3 linked regions of the Elephas maximus indicus genome follow. The protein of the gene in region 2 interacts with the protein of the main gene of each other region in a biochemical or structural test. Links are inferred from orthologs where the notes say so. Each region holds a gene or a part of one and is shown on either strand. Other genes may lie near its edges.

Region 1 (7,520 bases), on a different chromosome or scaffold from region 2:
GGGCTGCAGCTTCTGCCCCTCATTGGCCTGTTGACAGCCAGATGGGCAGCAGTTACTCCCCCCAGGAAACTGTACCTATCTGTCAAGGATTAGAAACCTTTCCCGTGTATTATTCTTCTTGAAAAGAAAAAAAAAAAAAAAAAAAAAAGGCGGGGTAAACTCTGACGTCATGGGCCTGCGTATATCAGCAGAGTTGGAGGCCGTCTGGAGCAGGTGCTGGGCAGGGCCCCTGGGAAAGGGGAAAAGGGCAGCTGGCTGATCAGGTGGGGGTGTTCTGGGGCCAGACGAAGACCTCCTGGCACGATGAGAGGTTAACCTATCCTGAAGTCCTGGCCTGGAAAAGATGGATGACTCTTTCTTGGCCTCTGGCTCCCCTCTTAAGGCCAGGCCCCAGAGGTGCAGGGCTTATGGGGGAGGCTGGCAGCTTGGGGAAGCCCCCCTCACCGATGGTCCCAGAGAGTCTGGGGGCTCCGGATCCTCCCGCCTGGTAATGCATGAATCCCCGCAGTAACATTCAAATCCCTCTTCTGCTCCAGCTGCTTCCTCCTGCCTTCGTCCAGGGCTGGGATCCCTCTCCCCGGGCCCCCTGACTCTCTCTGCCCTGACCAGAAGGCAAAGACCACCTTTTCCCAATTACAGGTGGTGAAACACAAGGCCCCGCTGAGGGACAGAACTTGGCCAGGGCTCTGCTGCGATTGCCCTGCTCACTGCCTGTTTAGTGTCCTCTCTAAGAAGTTGCACAGCTGGAAGGGGCCCCTGGGATGAAATACAGAGAAAACAGATGAGCGGCTGAGAACTTGCCATGCTTCGACCGGGCCAGAAGGGGGCGCTCCTTTGCAGGCGCTCACCAGGACTCCTGGGAGAGCGGGCAGGACAATCCTGACATAGCCCCCTTGCTGGGCCTCCCAGAAGCCCTGGGGAATAACTCCCTCACCGGAGGCGCCTGCATTAGGTCTCACATCAGGCTCGGCTAACTGCCTGGATGTCAAGTGTGCCAAGGAAGGGCCCCTGGGTGGCAAGGCCCTGCAAGAGGGGAAAGAGAGAGGAAGCAGCCCACAAGAATACGGTCTCTTCTTTCCACGTACCCCCACCTCTTCAGAGGCCAGGAGGGAGACGGGGTCCCAGCCATGAGGGCTCTGATACCTGGGGCTTGGCACACTTCAGTCTCTCTCTGACTTTCCCTACTGCCTGCTCCTTCTCTGCCCCCACCCACTCACCCCAACCCACCACTTTTCCTTTCATTCTCTCCATGCCCTCTCCCCCAACAGGCTTGTTGCCCACGCCCAACAGCACAAGGCTGCCACCCCTGGGAGACCACCCCCCCCACACCTCCCTATCACATCTCCTTCCTCCAAAATGCTGCAGACCACCTTAGGCTGGCCTCTCCCCATGCCCGGCTCCTTGGACACCTCTACCTGAGACCTTCTGCTGTTCCTACAACTGGCAAGCAGAGTGTGGCCACTTCCCTGGCCTTCTTGTTTCCCTCAGTTTCTCATGGTGGCCCTTTGGCGAGGCCTCTTATTGGACTTTTTCTTTGGGCACTTGTGGTGCCCCTCTAAGCCCCAGGTGCTGAGGGAGCCATGGCTGACCCACAGGGAGTCTGCTTTTCATCTGGGTCTTCTTCTGCTCCGCTCTTCTCTCAGGGCCTGCGGGCCATGTCTCCAGGCTCAGCCCGGCCTTACCCTTCTCCAGGAAGCCCACCGGCCACCCCAGGGTAGAGGCAGACCCACCTGGGGTGTCCACAGCCCTATGTCATTGTCCTTTTCATCTTACAAAGCAAGCGTCAGTTTCTGGGGGTTCTTCCTGCTGAAACCAGCTCTGGAGCACTGGACTTTCCTCATGGGTGCAGGCTGCAGGGACGAGGGTGTGGGCTGCAGGGACGAGGGTGTGGGCTGCAGGGAATCAGCAAGGTCACTGAGGCCCAACAGACTTTTTCCCTCCTTTACCAGCAGAAGGCGTTGTAACACTGAGCATTCAATAAAGTGTCCCAATGACCTATGCTCAGCTGCACAGTGGGTCCATCTCTTCCAGCCAGGCCTCTGTCATGATCCCATGAGGGAAAAGCAGCAAGAAAGGGCCTGAGCCTTTCTCTGCAGCTCACCCTTGAGAGGAACCCAAAATCCCCTTTGGGGGGCCCTGCAAGAGGGCAAATCCCAAAGGCGAAATCTTCAGTCTCCAAGTAAGTCATGTGCTGGTTACTTCCTTTCCTGGAAGTCCCTCTAGGTCACCCCACAGACTTCGCTGACCCACCCCACCTCCCAGGTCAGCTAAGCAGGAGCTGCTCCCCAACTGGCCCCCGGGGAGCCTCCCAGTTGCAGTTAACCCCTCCAGGGTGTGCTCTGCCCCAAATGGCCCCAGCCTACTGGTCAGAAGTGGGGGCTTGCCAGATGATTCCCCTCCCAAAAAGGGTGATAGAGTCCAGGGTGCTGGCTCTGCCCTCTCTGGGGTTGGGTGGGGGTTGGGTGTTCTAATCTAGACCCAAAGCTCAGAGAGGGAAGACCTAGACATCTGCTAGTTCCCCACCAAGTGCATCCAGGAAACAGAGGATATGAAGAACAACTAACAGACATTTAGGCAGAAGGAGGTGACCTCCTGTACTTAAGGGTGGGCTTGAGAGTGTGTGGCCACTGCCCCCCAACCCCCCATGCCAGACTGGTAGCTGTCTCAAGACTGAATGGCTGGGCTCTTTAAACCTGTATAAATAAAGCAAGTCTCCGAGAAGTTCCAATGGTGAGATTCCTCTCTGTCCAGGCGGCAGAGAAGAGGGAATTTCCACAGCACACCCCAAGCTCCCTCTCCTCCCCCCCTCATTTTGCTCCTTTTTCTCCTCAAATGATAGAGTCCTGCCACCCTGCAGGTGTTAAGGTGGAGAGGCAATCAGGGCAGGCTGCCTGGAAGTGGTGAGTCAACACCCCAGGGCCCACACAGGATGCCCTGCTGGTGTCAGGATCCTCCTGCAGGTCTGGGGACTCTGCTGCTTCAAACTCAGGCCCCAGGTGTATTTTATTTGCTCAACAAAGGGACCTAGGATCCAGGTGGTCTGGAGATTCCCACTCAGGGTGCAAGTGTGGGAAGGGGTGAGCCAAAGCAGGGGCTGAGGCCCAGACAACGGTACTGCTGCTTCCCTGGTTCCAGTTCTGGGCTGCAAGGCCAGCAAAAGCCACAGCAGGGCACCTGGTCTTCCAGGCCCCTCTTCACTCCAGCCTCCCTCCCTCCGGGGGTGCAGCTTCCTCTCGCTGAAAAAGCCTATCCTTGTTCCTGAGTCCCGTGGGGTGATCTTCACACCTGGGTACTGCCACCACATCCCCATAGCGACAACTGCATTTATTCTTCCTTCTCTAATCCGAATTCTGCTCGGAGGCAGCATGGGCATAGATAGATGAGCGCATCTCACCCAATTCTTGGGGTACCAGGATCCCCGCTTCTGCAGTCCGTCCCGAGAGACTGACTCCCTGGGGCCCGAGAAGCCTTACCCAAGGAGAGTGAGTCGTGAGCCGCACGGATGCGCGGCTGTGTCCCGACAGCCAGCCGTGACGGGGCCTCTCTATGGCCAAGAACGCAAAGGCTACAACCTGTTCGGTTCACGGAGGCCAGGCGCGGTTTGAGTCCGGGTGGAGCTCCCTGCCTAGCCTGTGAGGGAGCACAGGACACTGGAGTGGACATCCCCACGTTGCGGGTTCTCGAGTGGGCTCAGGCAGAGTTCGCCGCACCCTGGCCCAAGCAGATCAAACCCACCCCCACGGGTATGCGGCGGGGACGTTCTGTGCGGTGGCCAGAGTGAGCTTGGAGCCACAGCGGGGACACACACTGCGCCGCGCACACGCAAGAGGGCACCGTATCCCGGGCCTGCCTTTGCAGGCCCCTCTTCCTGTCTCCGCGTGCTCGCGCGCGCGCGCGCACACACACACACACACACACACGCCCACGCGCAAGGTTTGCGCTCTTCCTGCAGAAGACTGGCGCTCCCCCCTGCGGCCCGGGCAAAGCCCGCTCTCCCAGCGCCTCCTACCCGGATGTCTGGCCAGATCCTCCGCTGCTGCCCCTACCCTACAGCGTCGGTGCGGCAGGAGCGTCCCTGACTAGCAGGTGGAAGACGCAGCCGAAGTCCCTGCCAGCGCCCATCAGGTGCCCAGGGACGAGTTTGGCAACAAGGCAGGTCTGCGTGGATTTCGCGCTCCGCCAACTTTCTGACTGTGTGACTTTGGGCAAGTGACTTCATTCCTCGGAGCCTGTCCTTGCACCTGCAAGGAGGAAAACTGGTCCCTTCCAGGTGGAGCGCGGGGTGATGAGGCATGAGTGCAGGCGCAGGGCAGGGGCGCACCAGGTTGGGCACGCCAGGGCGCGCGCGCTGCAAATGGAGCTCCCTTTCGCGCGCCGCCTTGCAGCTCTGAGTGCTGCGGGAAGCGAGCCCGCCGAGCCTGTGGTCCCTCGGGGCTGGGATAAAGGTGGCGGCGGAGGGGGAGCATCCGCGGCCCCCTCCTGGCCCCAGGGCGGCCGCGTGCACCGTGCCATTGGCCGGGGCAGCCGGGTGGGCGGGCGGATGACATCAGCGGCAGGTTGGATTATAAAGGCGGGAGCGCAGCTGCGGACTCTGAGCGCACCCAGCCGGCGCCTCACAGCACTGAGACCCGCGCCCGCCCGCAGCCCAGCCCGCCTCTCCGCGCTCGCCCGCTCTCCTGCAGGCCTCACACGTCCTCGACCCAGCGGGCACCATGCACCTCTCCCAGCTGCTGGCCTGCGCCCTGCTGCTCACGCTGCTCTCGCTCCGGCCTTCCCAAGCCAAGCCCGGGGCGCCACCGAAGGTGAGTGCTGTCGCGGGGACCCCAGGCCTGCGCGGGGCAGGGGTCCCGGGAGGATGTGGCGCGCAGAGGGTAATAGAGGAGGCGGCCCTGTCCCCCGAGCTGTGCGCGATGAGAGCCGTAAGCCCTCGATGCCCGGACTCAGGATGGACTTCCCAGCTCCGGGAGACTTTGACAGAGGCGCAGCCCGGGACCCAGTGTGGCCAACGGGCGAAGGGCGAAGGAGGGAAGGGCAGGGGATCCCCGAAGGGTGGACAACCGTGGCCGCATGGCAGGTGGATGAGGGGCAGACCTGTCCGGCATCACAAGTGACAAACCGCGCTGGCGGATGCTTCTGGCCAGAGCATCACGGGCCCCGCAAAGGCCCCCGCGCAGCCACCGCGCTTCCCTGCACCTGCCTACTCTTTTCCTCCGACAGGCCCCACGCACCCCGCCGGGAGAGGAGGTGACCGAGACCCAGGCTTCAGGTGGCGGTCAGAAAAAGGGCGACAAAGCTCCCGGGGGCGCCAATCTCAAGGGTGACGGATCGCGACTGCTCCGGGACCTGCGCGTGGACACCAAGGCGCGGGCAGCGTGGTCTCCTCGCCTTATGCACGAGCACCCCAACGCGCGCAAATACAAAGGAGGCAACAAGAAGGGCTTGTCCAAGGGCTGCTTCGGCCTCAAACTGGACCGGATCGGCTCCAGGAGCGGCCTGGGATGTTAGTGCAGCGACCCCTGGCGGCGGTGAGTACGCCAGTCTGGCCGCCCTGCGCTCCAGACGCCCTGCGCCCGGGCACCGTCATACCCAGTCCTTATCCCCGCCCGCAGGCCCGGTCCCCTTTGATCCTAGGGCAGTCCTTGCAGACCCCTCCCCCGGTCACTAGCAAGCCTCTAGAGGGGAGCCAAGCCACCCGGCCTGAGTGTGGGCTTGGCACTGGGCAGTGCTCTCCCCTACCCCCAGCCCATTATTCCATTTTACAGATAAAGAAAGTGAGGGATAAAGTGGTCAGGGAAGTGTGGCAAAGTCAGTAATGACAGCCTGGCGGAGCTCACCTGGCTGCTTCTAGAGAGGCCGAGAGGTTTGATGGAGTGATATCCACCTCCACACCAGCAGCATCAGCCCCGGTTTGTCAGTTGAGGAGTGGAAGGAAGATCATGAGTTTGTGGGAACAGAAGAAAAGGGGATATACACAAACCAGGAGTAAGCCTGTCTGCCAGCCACTCTGTGGATGGTGCCCAGGGTAGCGGGCAGCCAAGTGGTCAGGGCTGCTTCTGGGTCAACTGGCCCTCAACCCCCCAACTGGCAAATTTATCTTCGTAAAGATTACAATGGGCAAGATGCGTGCCCCCTCACAGTAGGCAGAAGAACCCTCGTTGGCATTGACCAGGGAGCTCAGCTGGCTGGGACATTTTCATTCTTGTCCCATGTCTAAACCGTGACTGCTGGCAGACTAGCCTGTCCAGGGTCCTGATGCTGCTGCAGCCGCGGTGAATTCAGGTGAATCTCAGCATTCCTGACCCTATTTCAGGGCAAGGAAAGGAAAAGACTAAGATAAACCTTTACTTTTGTCCCAACCTCAAACTCACCATGTCCCACACTGAGTTCCAAGCCAACCCTGGCTCCCAATCACACTTCTAGCCTCCCTTTTTCCAGCACGGCCTCCTCACCTTCTGCCAGGCCTGGAAACCTCTGTGCTTCGTCAGCTGCTGCCAGGTGCTGCGTCCTGGCAATTGACTGCTACAAAGATACTTGCCCCCTCTCCTTCCCTCTTCTCCATTCCTGCCACCCATCAGCGTCCACTGAATAATGTCCCACCCTCTAGAGCTTCAGGACCAAACCCCTGTTGGTTTCCAGCCTTGTCTCTTGCTGCCATTTCCTGTCCCATGCTCAGGCCATGGGAGGCTGGTCCCTTCACACATAAAATTTTGTCCATGTCCATGTGGCTTCCCTCAGTGGAAAACAAAGAGCACCCTCTATCAGCCTCTCCGGCAAATTGCCTAGGCTTTTTTTTTAATAGAACCAAGGTCCCTGGGTGGCAAGCAGTTTGCACTCAACTACTAAAGATTGGTTGTTCGAACCCACCCAGCGGCACCATGGAAGAAAGGCCTGGCAATACTCTAAGGAGCAGCTGTACTCTAACAATGGGATCACCGTGAGCAGGGACCTAACTACAGAAAATAGTGCCCAAGACAATTAGTGTTAAATTGCTGAATGATCTCTCACAGCTGGCGAGGGAAACCGTGATGGCCGATAGAAACTGCTAACAGGTGCCCTGCCTCCAGCGGCGCCCAGGGCACACATGCAATACCCAGGGCACATGGCCTACCTAACCCCTCCCCCGACCCCAGTTAGGCCTTTGGCCATGAGTCAGAATCAATTTGATGCAATAGATTTGGTTTGTCTTTGTTTTTTATAGCACAGGACACTTTTTCACTGTAGGTGTAGTTGTTTCTGAACCTACTCACTTCCCCACACTGACTTGTGAGTAGCCTGGGAGCTAGAAGCTAGCCTAAGACAATTGAGGCCCCACAGCACCCCCCAAAATGACCGGAGAAACCTGCCGCCCTCAGCTTTCAGGTGCTCCTCTCCACCTGCCCTAGATTTCAGCTTGTTCCCTTCCTTTTTTCCTGGCCCAGCTGTGTGCTTCTCCCCCATCCTGCAGGGTCTTCTGCCATCTGTGACCTGGACTTGGGCCTTGCACAGGAAGCAGAATGGTTCGGGCACTCAGGGCCCAGCCC
Region 2 (7,734 bases):
CACAATAGAGTCTTGCTTCCTTTATAAAGCCTTCCTAAACTCAACCCACAAAGACTCTTCCTCCTCTGAGCAATATAAAGTTCTTAGCATCTGTTCCAGGACACATAATCCTATCTTTTCTCATACTTGTATCTAACTGTGCCACAATCATGTCTCGCCTCTCTAGAAAGATTGGAAGCTTCCCAGGGATTGGGACTGATTTTTTCCTGAACTGTTCTCTCCCACCATATAGCCTATTCCTGGCACTTAGGAAAGTCAGTGCTCCAGGATCTTTGGAGGTAATCAGTCAGTCTTGGCAGACACACTGAGAATCACTCAGGTGGGGACATAAGAAAGGATGACAGTAGACTTGGAAAGCCTCTGTTCATCTCACTCCTGTAGCTTAGAATTCCTGCCCTGTTCCTGGGGTTCCTGTGGGATTTTGAGAGAGACAAAGAGAGGTAATCTCCAGTGTAGCACCTCTTCCCCCTCCTCCTTCAGGTTTGGCTCAAATGATACCTGGAAGGCCTCTCTGAGAGCCTGGGCCTGTTCCCGGGTGCGGTTGTCCTGCCAGGGCCGGCCTGTAGAGCGCGTGGGGCCCGCACGGAGACTCTCCCCAAAGACATCCAGGTAAAAGAAGACATAATCCCCATTGGTCAGGTTCTCCCTCTGGGCCTGAAGCAGGATCTCATGCAGCATTTCCAGAGGGCCGCAGATATACACAACTGGGTACAGGTACACGACAGAGGAGCACTCTGAGAAAGCATCCAGGTCCTCAAACAGTCCCCTCTCTGAGTCATCTTCATTTTCATCTTAGCAAGAAAGAGCACGCCCTAACCTATCAACCTCCCAGCAGATGCTCCCCTTGTCATTCCCCCCTTGGAGGCTCTGTCATACATACCCTGAGGCCATATGGACCATCTGGCAGATGTCATAGCCTGACTCCAGACCCCAGAGGAAAAGAGCCATCACCCTCAAGCCCCTCCTTTTCCCAGAGCCTTGCTTGCTACTCACCACTCAGCCCTCCTCACTCCCCTACTCTCCTCTGCCTTTGCCTTGGCTCAAAGGTATTGCTCAGAGTTTCTCTCAGTGTGAGCTTTACCTGTGTTTCCCAACCAAATCTGCTCAGCCCCCAAGCCCATTTATGGAATCCTCACTATTTTCACGCTGCCAAAGGGTCTCGGTGCCCCAATTTGAGAAATCTCTGCTCACAGACAGGCACAAATATCAGAGTGGCCATCAAACACATTCACAACTCTAGGGTACTCCCACTGCTTCCTGAACACAAAATCCCCAAATCCCATGTTCTCCACTGATACAAGCTTCATTCCTCATGCCATCTCATTTCTTTTTTACATCTGCCACAACGTCTTCATGCTCTCCTCATAGTGCCTTAGCCCTCTCACAGGTGCTGTGCCCACGTAGGCTTCTTGATCCCAACCCTCAGGTACAGCCCCTCAACGCCTATTTTCAACTGCAGTTTCCTAGTCCTGAGCTCCAGGGTGACAGCAACCCTCCTCCCCTGACCCTGAAACAGCCCGGAGCCACACTCACTGCGCCCGTTGGCCCGGATGAAGTGGATGGCCTGCTCAGGGCCCCCTGGCTCACGGGCATACACCTGGTGCTGCACACTGAGGTTGCTGCCCTGCAGGGCCTCAAAGACGCCCTCGATGGTGAAGTAGTGAGGTCGGTCATCTGTGCGAGCATCCAGATATAGCAAGGCAGCACGGGCAGTCCAATTGAAGTGCCCATGCAATGTCACTACAAACTCACCCAACTTGGGCGCAGAGGGGCCCGTGCGAACCAGGGTACGATAATGCTCGTTCTTAGCTGCAAAGCCAGAGGCCACAGCACCCGCAGTCAGCAGGGGAAGGCGCCAGTGGGAGGCAAAGCGGGCTACAGAGGCAGCTGGGTACACGCAACCAGGGCCCAACAGAAGGTCAGGGTCATGGTACAGCTTGAGGTCCACAGCACGCAGTGGTGCCAGGTACTCAGAACAGGCGCCATCTAGTTCAGAGCTGACAAACCGCAGGTCCACGGGCAGTGCTCGGCCCAGTGCCTCCACAGCTAGTGCCACAGCAGGACCCACTCGCGGCCAGGCCCAGGCATAGCTCAGGTTGTGTTCTGGCAGCACCACTGCCAGCGTCAGATTCCGAGCCCCGGGAGGACGCACCCCACCTGCCAGGGCTGCTACCAACAGCAGGAGTGATGGCAGTGCCATGGGGATACAACAGTAGCCCCACCACCCCCAGGACCTGGGGCTGCTGTGGCCTACAGAGGAGGCACAATCACCACCCAGCCTGGCACCTGGGAAAGGGGGCTAGGAAGAGAAGTAAGGATAAGCTAAGTGGGCGGGGACACAGAAAGTGCTGCGGACTGGGGAGAGGAGGGTAGGGTGGGTGGAAGCCTCAGGGGTAGGTAAGGAGTGGATCTAGCAGCCTAGGGCAAGGGCTAAGGACAAGGCTGAGGACTACGTACATAAGAGTAGGGTGGCAGGAGGAGGGAGGCACCAAGGGGGCCTGTGAGCGGGTTGCGGGCAGTGCGGGGTGAAGTAGCCTGATGAATCAAGCTGAGAAGGAAAAGGGGATCTGAGGTTAGGATGGGGTGGGGGTGGGGGGGGAGGCCGATATAAAGAACCGGCCTGGGGGTACCTCCCAGCTGAAGGGGCTAGGAGGGCAGAGAGCTGCGAGAAACAGAACCAAGGGGGTAAGGTGAGAGGGTGCCCGCGCCGCAGAAGAACAGGGACCATGGGCTGGCGGGGAGCGAAGCGAGGCCTGGGCCGGAGGGAGGGGAATGCAGGGGTAAATCTCCCCGTGAAGGCTTCTCCCGAAGCTCCAGCTTGGACTAACGGGCCCTGGGCGCTGGTCCCATCCGCAGCTGCGGCGGCTCCGCCCGTGTCCCAGCTCCTCTGCTCCGCTCCTCCTGGGCCCGGCGGCCGGCGCTGCCCGGCGCTTCCTCCCGCCCCCCGCCTGGGCCCCCGTGCGCGCCGCTCGTCCGGGTCAGGTCGCCTCGGCCGGGCCCGTCCCCGCTCGCTGCGCCGGCGGCGGCGGCCGAGTGTGACTCCCGGGGCAGGCCGCCTGCCCCCGCCCCCGCCCGGCCACTTCCCCCGCCCCCTCCCCCACGGCCCCTCCTCCTCCCCTCCCCGCCCCACCCTCCGGCGCCTGCTGTCTCCCTCTCACCCCCTACCCGGCACCCAGGGACCTCCCATTTCCCAAAGCCACCCCAGTGAAAATCCGGGGCTCTGCACTAGGGGCTCTCAGGCCGGCGTGCTTCCCGGGTGTCCCCTCACTCGGGGGGCCTACCCCTGTCTCCCCAAGCCCCTGGTCCAGCCCGCCGCCCTCTTGCCATCTCACACGTTCTTCTCTCCCTTGCCTATCCTGCTCTTCTTAGGGTCCCCTCTCTTAACTCCCCTGAGTCCCTCATACTCTCCAGTCTCCAGGAAGCAGTCAGGAATTCTCAAATATTTGGTATCCTCACTAGTCCTTCACCTAATAAACTTATTCCACCCTTCTAATTATCACGAACCTCACACCCTTCAGTAAGACATGCCCCCTCACTGGGAGACAGGCTTCTCTCCAGAAGCAGCAGGCCTCCAAGGACAGATTTTTCATGAGTTCTTAAGTCCTGAGTCTCCTTCCCTGGGACTTAACCCTCCGATCTCCATCTTCCTGTCTCCATGTCCCCTCTTGTGCCCTCCCCCATGTCCTCAGAGGCCCACCAGAGCCCACTGGGCTTCCCCCACACCATCTGCTCCAGGGCAGCACCCAGGAACAGCGTCTTCTTTCTTTGTCTCCCTCCACAGCACAGCCAGCATCTGGTAAATGCTTGTAGCCTGACTAAGCACAGCATTCCCTCTGCAACGGAAGCCCTCTGCACCCCCTTTGGGTTCCACCCCTGTCCTAAGCTTCTGACCTAGAGAGCTCACCCCAGGTACTCCGTTTCTGGAGTGCTTATCTGATCTGAGGAACAGCTTGTGAAGGATGATATCATGGTTGCTGGGAGGAACTGTTATGGGACCTTGGGGAGTTTTCCTCAAACTGTCATAAAGGAGATGCACATAAACCCATTCTCCTCCCCCTGCGGAGAGCCACAGTTTATCACCCCCTTCAATCCACTCCTCCAGAAATCACAGTGTCAAGAAACTAAGAGAGCTTTCTGAGCAGAGGAGGGGAGGGTGGGAGTGTAGGTAGAGAGAAGGGAGGGGCGCAGTTTCTCTGAGATGAAGGCGACACCTAGTGGCTTTGGGGTGGAAATGAAGGACAATGCCATTTTATTCTCCCAAGGTATTTATTTATTTATTTATTGAGCAGGGGGGTGCCTTGCACACGTTGTAAGGGTGAATACAAAGAAAACTGAATAAAGTCCTTACCTTTAGGAGCACGCTGTTGCAATTCCCAGGGCTCAGAGGCCAAAGGCAAGCCCCCTGACGATGTTTCTTGCTCCAAGCCCAGTAGAAACAGAAGCCTCAGGACAGCTCCACCTTTAACACGGAGAGATGGTAACTCTTGTTCCAGACTCGTGATACCGCCACAGTGAAAAGGAATTTTGTCCTGCCTGGGCAAGGAAAAGAAGGATGGAACAGAGGGGTGACAGAACACCTTGAAAAGACATGGGTCTAACATTAGACAGGCAACCAAATCATACTTTTTTTCTTAATAATTTTTATTGTGCTTTAAGTGAAAGTTTACAAATCAAGTCAGTCTCTCACATATAAATTTATATACACCAAATCATACTTTTTAAGCAACTACACACAGCTTTGTGGGAGAAGCAGAGTCAAAATGTCACCACCTCTTCCAGAATTATGGAATGTCAGGGCTAGGAGGAATCTTGTAAATATATCATGCAATGCCATCATTTAAAGATAATTGAAAAGTGAGTCCCAAAGAGGGAAGTCACATAGCTACCCCCTAACCCCCACATGGTTTTTAATGGCAGACTAGAATCCAGTTTCCTGATCTCTAGGGCAGGGCTCTTCACAGATATTCTGCTGACTAATAGACACCAGTGAAGACCAGCCATCACTCTTACCCAGACTCCCAGACAAGTTTAAGCTCATGATATGTCGTTATGCTGAATATTAAGGAAAATTCTGCATTATTTTTGGGACTAAACTTTCAAGCATCTTGCACCCTCCGTCTTCTTTCCAACTGGCCCTTTAGACTTGAAAGTGGGAACAGGCAGGGAGATGAAACTTAAATTATTTAATGTGGTTTCTTATCAGCATCCAGTGAAAGATTTTTGTTTTTCTTTTCCCTTTTGGGGGAAGGCTGAAAATATTAGATAAAAGAGATCTTTCCTTGTCTATATATTCCAGTTATCCAAAATATTATTGCCGTCATTCATATGGATAATAAGATTTTGACTGTTTTTGGTGACTCCATGGAAACCCATGCAACCCATATAAACCCATCTACAGATCTTTCTGGCCTGAGCAGCACCCAGCTAGGGTACAACTTCCTTTCTGTAGGGTTGATATGGCTTCTTACTACTCCGCAGATCCCCCGTATAATGACTCCTGGGACAGGGCCAGCCGAAACACCTTATTACTAGTCCGGATTTAAACTCCAGAGCATCTAATGGCTAGCTGCTAGAAGCTGCTATGGTTTCCTTGTTGTTCCTGCTATGTTGTTGCTGGGTGCTATCAAGTCAATTCTGACTCATAGTGACCCCATGTGACAGAGTAGAAATGCCCCATAGGGTTTTCTAGTCTGTCATCGTTACGGAAACAGATTACTCGGTCTTTCTCCCCCACAGAGCTGGGTAGATTTGAACCACCAACCTTTTGGTTAACAGCCGAGCGCTTAGCCATTGCACCAAGCCTGTTCCTTAGTGAAAAGAAATCAAAGCCCTAGTCATGTTCAGGCCAATGGAGCATCAAGACCTTAGCTGAGTTCTGGAGCTACCATGTGGTTCAGGCTCGTGCTCATCTTCTCCATGGTAGGTCCTGATGTCCTAAACTGACTCCCAGGTCAGAGCTGAACAGTTTCATAACTTACCTGATTTCACAGCTAAGTCTGGACTTTCAAGTTTGCTCTAAACCAGAGCATGCCCTCCTGGCCTGTAGAATTCCAGAAAAACAAAACACCTTTCAGTCTTCGCTCTGCTTGACCAGCCTGACCTGCAGAAAAATACTTTGACTACATGCAATTATCCCCTGCACACAAGACCCTTCCAAGAGAACCTGCCAACAGAGGGCAGAGAACAGCCATGAAAAGTAAGCTAAAATAAGGCAGAAAAGATCCATTTCAAATGATGGATTTCAGTAAGGGGGAAGGGGAGGCAGTATAATAAAAGAAAGGTAGTGAACCATATAGAAGGCAAAGAAAGAGTTTATTAAAATTCTACATTATTTTTTAGCCTCAGCGAGGGAGAATCTTGAAAATCAATCAACCCATTACTGCTCAGGTACCCTACTCCCCTCCACCTCTCTCCTGCCCTCACAATCCATGCAGCAGGACACAGTAGGTTCTAGACCTTGGGTCCAGTGCTCTTCATAAACATTCATATGAAAGCCTCCTCAAAGAGTTGCTCTTATTGTTTGAAGGGTCAAATGTTTTTACTTTTAATTCATTCATAGCTTTCTTTTGTAGTTAAGCTTTAACTTAACTTTTGTAAGTTAAGCTTTAAAATTTGAAATATTTTCAAATCAGGTCCTAGCTTTCAACTTACCTGCCTAGGTGTGTGTTCTAAAAGATGAATTAGTACCATATTCTGAGGGCCAGAGATATCAGCTTTGTGAAAATAGAAGTCGTTTTTCAATGGAAAGTGCTTCAGAGAGAGCCAGTGATACCTAAGAGAGGAATTTAAAAATCGCCAGGAGAAGCAACCATGCATCTTTGTCTTATGATGATCCATGCTCCAGACGAACCCATACTTCACCCATCTGTTCCATCCAGGCCTGGGCCTGCACCTCCTTGAGTGTCCAGACAGGTCCCAGTGTCTCCTCTGCTCTCCCACACTTGGCCTGTCTTCCAGGTAGGTACATATGCTGCTTCCCTATGTTCTGATTACCACCTTTCACCATTATTACCAATCCAAGTGGTCACTTACCACCCCTTGGAGCATATGATAGCATAAAGTGTCAAATATAATATTTTCTTCCTTGCTCCACTTAAAATCTCACTTTCTTCACAAAATCTTTCACTGAGACGAAGTAGTATGCGTTCGCTTCACCGTTTCAAATTTTGCTAAATTTACAAATATCTCACATAAAAACAAGCAATATCTCACATAAAAACAAACATAATTATGACAGTTTCTATAGAATGGAAATGTATTAATCACTATTTTAATCTTCTGCTCTGCTTTGAATTTCCTAGAGAAGCCAAAAACAGGGAAATCCCGTTGCTGTCAAGTCGATTCCGACTCATGGTGACCCTACAGGACAGAGTAGAACTGCCCCATAGGGTTTCCAAGGAGTGGCCGGTGGATTCAAACTGCTGACCTTTTGGTTAGCAGCTGAGCTCTTAACCACTATGCCACTTGGGATCCAAAAACAAGGAAGAGGAGAAATCTGGAGCAAAATTTGACAAAATTGGAAAGCAGGTAATACACACAAGTGTTCTTTGTATTGGTCTCTCTATATGGTTGAAATATGTGATGAAAAAACAAAAAGAGAGCTATCAAGCCACAAAAAGACATGCATATTGCTAAGTAAAAGAACCCAGTCTGAAAAGGCTACGTATTGCATGATTCCAGCTATATGACACTCTGGGAAAGGCAAAACTATGTTGGGTTGTTGTTGGGTGCCAT
Region 3 (6,209 bases), on a different chromosome or scaffold from region 2:
GCAAAGGGCTGACTAGTGGGGCAGACTTGCGGACATACACCCTCACTTGTGTGACTCTGTTGTGTGAATCTGTCGTGCCCATTTCTCTCCCAGGAAGAAACGGCCCTGCTTTGAAAAGCAGTTTCTGCCAAGTGTCTCAAGTGCTTGAGATGTTTGTAGACATTTCAGAGCGTGAAAAACCCTTAAAGAAAGACACCCTCCCACCCAGCTTAACCAGCCCTTAAGGCTAGTGTCCCCACCTCACCATCAAGACGCCTTCAAGAAAACACAGGGTTTTGTTCTGTTTTTTGGAAATTATTCTTTTAATGCCCAGAGACAAATTAGTTTCAAAAGATAACACTATAATGTTGACTTTATTTCTCCATGGAAATCGTGTGCTCAAAAGTAAGAAACCATCTTTGTAAAATAACCAAATAAATAAAGATAAATAAATAGGAGTCATTGAAGGGGATCACAGGGTTGGGGAAAGACCAGCTGGAGGATCAGAGGCAGATGCCTGAGGCCAGGACTTCCTCTTAAGGGCTCCCCAGCACTGTGGGGAGAAGAGAGAGAGTGATTATATCTTTAGGCTAGAAGACTGAGGCAGGATCTGAGTGTCCCCTCACCATGTCCCGTCCCTGCCACCCACCCCCAGCCCTTGGCTGATTTTGATGTTTGAAGCCTTGGAACAATTGATCTCTGTGGGTGGGCCTCATTTTCTTCATCTGTAAAGTGGGTGTAATAGTAGCCCTGAGAAAACCAGGAGAAAGGATATCTGGGGCCCTTCCAGATAGGGGCTGCCAGACAATGAATGGGGTCCACTCTAAGTTAATTCTGCCCCTTTTGGTAAGAGAGATGATGAGAGGTGGGTGGGGCTCATGAGGATGGCAATGAATGGTGCCCGTATTTAATATTTCTAGAAAGGCACCCCTTGACCCTAAGGTCTCAGCAAGAGGGAGTGATGTGTCCAGGTGCCCTTTTTGCAAAGACTGTGGCCCCCATAGGGTTGTTATGGGTCAGAATCCACTCTACAGCAACGGGTTTGGTTTGGGTTTTTTGGTGGCCCCCAGAAACAAAAAACCCAGAAGTGTATGGAAGTGTGGACAGTGTAAGAATGGGGTGGGTGTGCAGCATTCCTGTTGAGTGCTAAGTTGGGGACTCACCATTGCAGCGCAGGCGGCTGTGGAAGCCAATGCGGTCCATCTTCCCCCCAAAGCAGCCAGAATCGCTCATCATCTTGGGGCTGGGTAGTCTCCCCTGGGCCTCAGGGATTTGAGGCTGGGGGACACCCATCGGGGATACCTCCTGGGCCTCCCCGGCTTCGACAGGGCCATGGCCCTGCTGGAGGGGCTCCAGGATCACTGGCTCCGTCTGCACCTCAGAGACCGTGACCTCCTGGGCCTCCCCGGCTTCGACAGGGCTATGGCCCTGCTGGACGGGCTCCAGGATCACTGGCTCCGTCTGCACCTCAGAGACCGTGTCCTGCAAATGGTCCAACAGCTTCTGTGATGGGTGGGGAGCCCGAGCCTCAGTAACCCCCACTCCCTCAGCACCCCCTCCATGGAGCACATGTGAACCAACTGCTTGGGTAGGGTGTCCTAGCACCCAGTCTCACTGCTTCCTGATTCCTTTTTCACTAACTCCCACAGGAAGGTGGGGATTCCTTGGAACAAGAGGTGTGGACCAGTTCTTTGCTGCTACAGGAACACTCTCCCAGCTGGCTGTATCTACAGTTTCGCAGTGCTCACCTGTAACCCGGGCAGTTCCAAGTCCAGGTCAGGGCCACCTAGAGGGTGGGAATGACCTCCCGGAGGCGACAGGTGCAGGAACAGGAGGAGCAGAAGTGCCCGGGTCAGCGCGGTCTGGTCCATGTCGAAGAGCCAGGCGGGGGTTACTGCTGCTGTGGCTGCTCAGAGCCCCGGTTGCAGTCCCACCTGTTGAGGTCCACAGGCGCTCTCCTGGCTTCCTGGGCAACCACAGCCTTTTATCCCCGTGCTGGGAGCAGGGTCTGTCCTGCCCTCCTGGGTTATCTGTGCTTTATCAGCTGCATTCCGACCCGCTGATCTCAGGGCCCAGGCATGCTCCCTTCAGGGTCTGGTACTAGTACTCCCTGGGGGTGGAGGCTGGGGAGGACAGGCCTTGTACAGAAATGGGCAGGGCCCGGACGGGAACTCGTGGTGGACACCAACAGGTTCCTTGTCTCTCCTGATTCTTTCTTTCCTGCAAAAATCCAAGGGCCAAGGCATGGCTCCATCTCCTCCGCTCTCCACCCCCAAGCATTCCTGGAGAGGGTAGGAAGAACTCCAGCATCCTAAAGTTCGACGCTAGCGCGGGGAGCACGGTGACTCAGAGTGAGAACAACGCCAAACACCGGACATCTCCCCCACCTCCCCTCCCGCCTGTAACTCAGCAATTCGCCGGAGTTCCTACGCCCAGCCCGGCTGCGAGTACCGGAGCGCCGACCGCTGTCCGTGGTGCTGACCTCGAACTTTGCTCAAACTCTACTCATGAAGTCTGGTTCTCATGGGGTTTCCCGCCCAGAAAGACCTGCACGGGGCAGGGGCAAGAGATCTCTAAGACCCCTTCTCACCGTCTTACTCCCACTCCCCTCGAGCCTTACAGCACTGGGATGCTGACCCCCCCAATATCATCTAATTAAATGCCTGGGTATGACAAGGAACTTCTGGAATGTTGACCTTTCTTCTATCCCTTAAAGGGTAGAGCTGATTCGGCTGGAATTTTGAGAGGCAAGGCCCCTGAGATGAAGTCATCCAGGAATGCCTTCTATCGCTGGTCCTCCAGTTGCCAACACCTCCTCTCCTCCACCAACCAAGACACATGATGGAAAAAGAGGTGATGGGTGGAAGGATGGTTATCTATTTGGTGGGACAAGGTGTATGGAGAGTCCCCCCCAATTCCTCCTCCATATGATTATTCATTACCTAATTCCCATTAGCAGATGGGAGCACAGGTGGACTTGCCACCTGTAATCAGAAATAGGGCTCCAAAAATTGGCTCTGGGAAGAGAAACAGCTGCTTAAACCTCCCCTAAAGTGTGCATGACTAATGTCAACACCCTTCCAGAGAATTTATGTTAACAAGAAGCAGGGTGAATGTATAGGGCTGTACAGGAAGGAAGATAAGTTATGACAGATGGGGGGAAGGGCAGCAAGAAGCTTGGGCCCCTAAGCAACTCTTGCCTAAAAAAAGCAGTTGCCAAGTGTTAAGTAGGAAAGAATACTGATATTCCCACTTTTCAGATGAAGAAACAACTCAGAGGAATTTATCACCTTTCTTAAGGCCACACAATTGACAAGTGGTGAAGCCCGGATTCCAATCCAGGCAGTCTGATTCCAGACCTGAAGCTCTTAATCACTGCTAGGGTGACTGCAAAGGGTTTCTACTAGAAAAAAAATTAATTCATTGTCATCTGTGAAGGTATAGGGAGCTGTGCTAGAGGGGGTGGGGTGAGTCTGGTGGCTGTGTGTGCAGGGGAAGGATGTTAACTGTGGGTAAGATGAGTGTTTTACAGATGAGGATGGGAGAGGGGGAAGGGTTAGGAGGTTCTAGGGGCTGGGCCAGTGTGTGTGTGTGTGCACATGCATACCACAAGAGGAATATCCAAAGATTCACTGAGAATAGAGGGGAGGCAACAGAATCCAACAAAGTGAAGAGCTGAGTAGAGGACTGGGAACTGCAAAGAGTGTAGAGGGTCCCTCACATTGGGCATCATGAAGGGAAGGGTCGGGAGAAAGACAGCAGCCAACCAGCACCTCTCAAGCACTGACACTATCTAGCCTGAACCTTACTTTTCTCTTCTGCAAATTGGGTATAATGGTGCTCTGCATCCTTGGAAGATAAATAAAAGTGAGAAAATGATGTCTGTAAAAGACTTTGGCAGTGTGAAAAGAACCAAATAATTAGAAATATGTGTGAGAGTTGGTCCCTACACCAAAGGATTTGTGATATTGCTGAGAAGACAGAGTAACTCCAGGGGAAACAATTAAGTGCTAAACACTCTGACAGAGCCTCCACCTGCCCCATCAGGCCAGGAAGGAGCCATCCCAGTGAAGGGGATTGTGGAAGATTTTAGAGAAGACACTGAACTTAATACTGAGTGTGCCTACTGTATGCCATACACTTTCCAGCTCTATTAATTGAGGGTAATGATATCACATATGTCATAGCATTACTGTACAAGGATTAAATTAGATGGTACATGTGGCAGGCTCAGTAACATTCCCCCAAAGGTGTCCAAATCCTAATCCCTGGAATTTATGATTATGTTAACCTTACATGGTAAAAGGGACTTTGCAAATGTGCTTAAGAATCTCAAGATGGGGAGTTATCCTGGATTATCTCGCTGGGCCCAATGTAATCACAAGGATCCTTATAAGACGGAGGCAAAAGGATCAAAATCATTGAGAGAAGACATACGAATAGAAGCAGAGGTCAGAGAGGAGAGAAGATGCCACGCTGCTGGTTTTGAAGATGAAGGAAGAGGCCACCAGCCTAGGATTGCAGGTGGTATCTAGAAGCTAGAAATAGCAAGGAAATGGATTCTCTCCTAGCATCTCCAAAAGGAACACCTTGATTTTAGCCCATTGAAACTGATTTCAAACTTCGGGTCATCAGAACTGTAAGATAAATTCGTGTTGTTTTAAGCCACTAAGTTGGTGGCAACTTGTTACAGCAGCAATAGGAAACTAATACGGTCTATGTAAAATGCTGAGCATAGTACCTGGCACATAGTAAGCCCTCAGTAAAGGCTGTTGCGGTGACAGTGGTAGCTCAACCCACAGGCAACTCACCTCCTTCCTGGCGAAGGAAAGGTTAAGGGCACATCTCAGCTCAGAGCCACCAACCTGGAAATGAGATGTGACAATCATTCTCTGTTGCTGCTAGTTCAGCAGGGAGCTGGGGTCTGCCCCCAGTGTCCTATGGGGTGGGGGCAAGACCACAGTGATGCTACACTTGACCTCCACAGGCCTGATCGGGCCACCTGGCTTGGCCCAGGCTAAGCCTGATTTGGGTGGCACAGGCCCACCAACTAAAGGACCAGTTTGGGTTCCAGGGACACAGAAAAGCCAGGTACAGGAGTCCCTGGAGAGATGCTGTGTGGCCCACACAGGCTGATCCTGGGGCAGCAGCTGACTTCGCAGGTAGGAGCAGACCCTGGACAGGCTTGGCCCCTGGCCCTTCCCATTCTAGGGTTCCCTACTTAACCCATCCTCTCCTTCTGCCTAGACTGGCATTAACAAGCATCTGCCGGGGGCTGCTGTCCTGGGGCTTCCTGTACCTGTACACTTCCTGCTGCACACCTGTGAGGAGCACACCAGCACCTCCAATTCTGTGCTCCAGCTGGGGCTTACTCATACTAAAAGAGTATCTGTTGTTTACCTGAAATTCAAATTTAACCAGATGTCGTGTATTCCTATTTGCTAAACTGGCCAACCTGTGGTGGAGTGAGGGTCAAGATTGCCTGCTTGCTACAGAGTTTATAAAGAATATGTTCTACATTCTACTTTGGTGTGTAGTGTCTAGGGTCTTAAAAGCCTGTGAGCGGCCATCTAGGATACTCCACTGGTATCACCCCTTCGGGAGCAAGGAAGAATGAAGAAAACTAAAGACATAAGGGAAAGGTTAGTCCAAAGGACTAATGGACCACATCTACCACGACCTCCACCAGACTGAGTCCAGTACAACTAGATGATGCCGGGCTACCATCACTGACTGTTCTGACAGGGATCACAATAGAGGGTCCCAGACAGAGCTGGAGAAAAATGTAGAACAAAAACTCTAATTCAAAAAGAAAGACCAGACTTGCTGGCATGACAGAGACTGGAGAAGCTCTGAGAGTAGCCCCCTGGGCACCCTTTCAGCTCAGTAATGAAGCCACTCCTGAGGTTCATGCTTCAGCCAAAGATTAAACAGTCCGGTGGCACAAAACAAGACTAAAGGGGCGCACCAGCCTGGGGCAGGGCCTGGAAGGTAGGAGAGAACAGGACAGCTGGTAATAGGGAGCCCAGGGCTGAGAGGGGAGAGTGCTGACATGTGGTGGGGTTGTTAACCAATGTCATACAACAATGTGTGTACTGTTTGATGAGAAGCTAGTTTGTTCTGTAAACCTTCATCTAAAGTTCAATAATAAAAAAAAGATTGCTTGCTTGCTTCTCCCTCTTAGTCAGCAGGTACTTGGAGGTCGGACTGGGCAGAATTGGGTGGGATGG

Evidence for each region.
Region 1: the proteins of NPR2 (region 2) and NPPC form a complex in vitro, tested with the Homo sapiens proteins (3 studies listed by BioGRID). The link is inferred for Elephas maximus indicus from reciprocal best matches to the Homo sapiens genes NPR2 and NPPC.
Region 3: the proteins of NPR2 (region 2) and NPPB form a complex in vitro, tested with the Homo sapiens proteins (3 studies listed by BioGRID). The link is inferred for Elephas maximus indicus from reciprocal best matches to the Homo sapiens genes NPR2 and NPPB.

Annotation. Positions count from the first base shown.
Region 1 is NC_064824.1:134,186,241-134,193,760, reverse strand, and holds the start of NPPC (C-type natriuretic peptide), read left to right. Parts: upstream 1-4,635; 5' UTR 4,636-4,712; coding exon 4,713-4,802; intron 4,803-5,217; coding exon 5,218-5,505; 3' UTR 5,506-5,525; intron 5,526-7,520.
Region 2 is NC_064827.1:44,581,281-44,589,014, reverse strand, and holds the start of NPR2 (atrial natriuretic peptide receptor 2), read right to left. Parts: upstream 3,021-7,734; 5' UTR 2,201-3,020; coding exon 1,534-2,200; intron 705-1,533; coding exon 499-704; intron 1-498. UniProt on the Homo sapiens protein: Receptor for the C-type natriuretic peptide NPPC/CNP hormone. Has guanylate cyclase activity upon binding of its ligand. May play a role in the regulation of skeletal growth.
Region 3 is NC_064821.1:51,724,948-51,731,156, forward strand, and holds NPPB (natriuretic peptides B), read right to left. Parts: upstream 1,851-6,209; coding exon 1,728-1,850; intron 1,483-1,727; coding exon 1,372-1,482; intron 1,282-1,371; coding exon 1,143-1,281; intron 533-1,142; coding exon 516-532; downstream 1-515.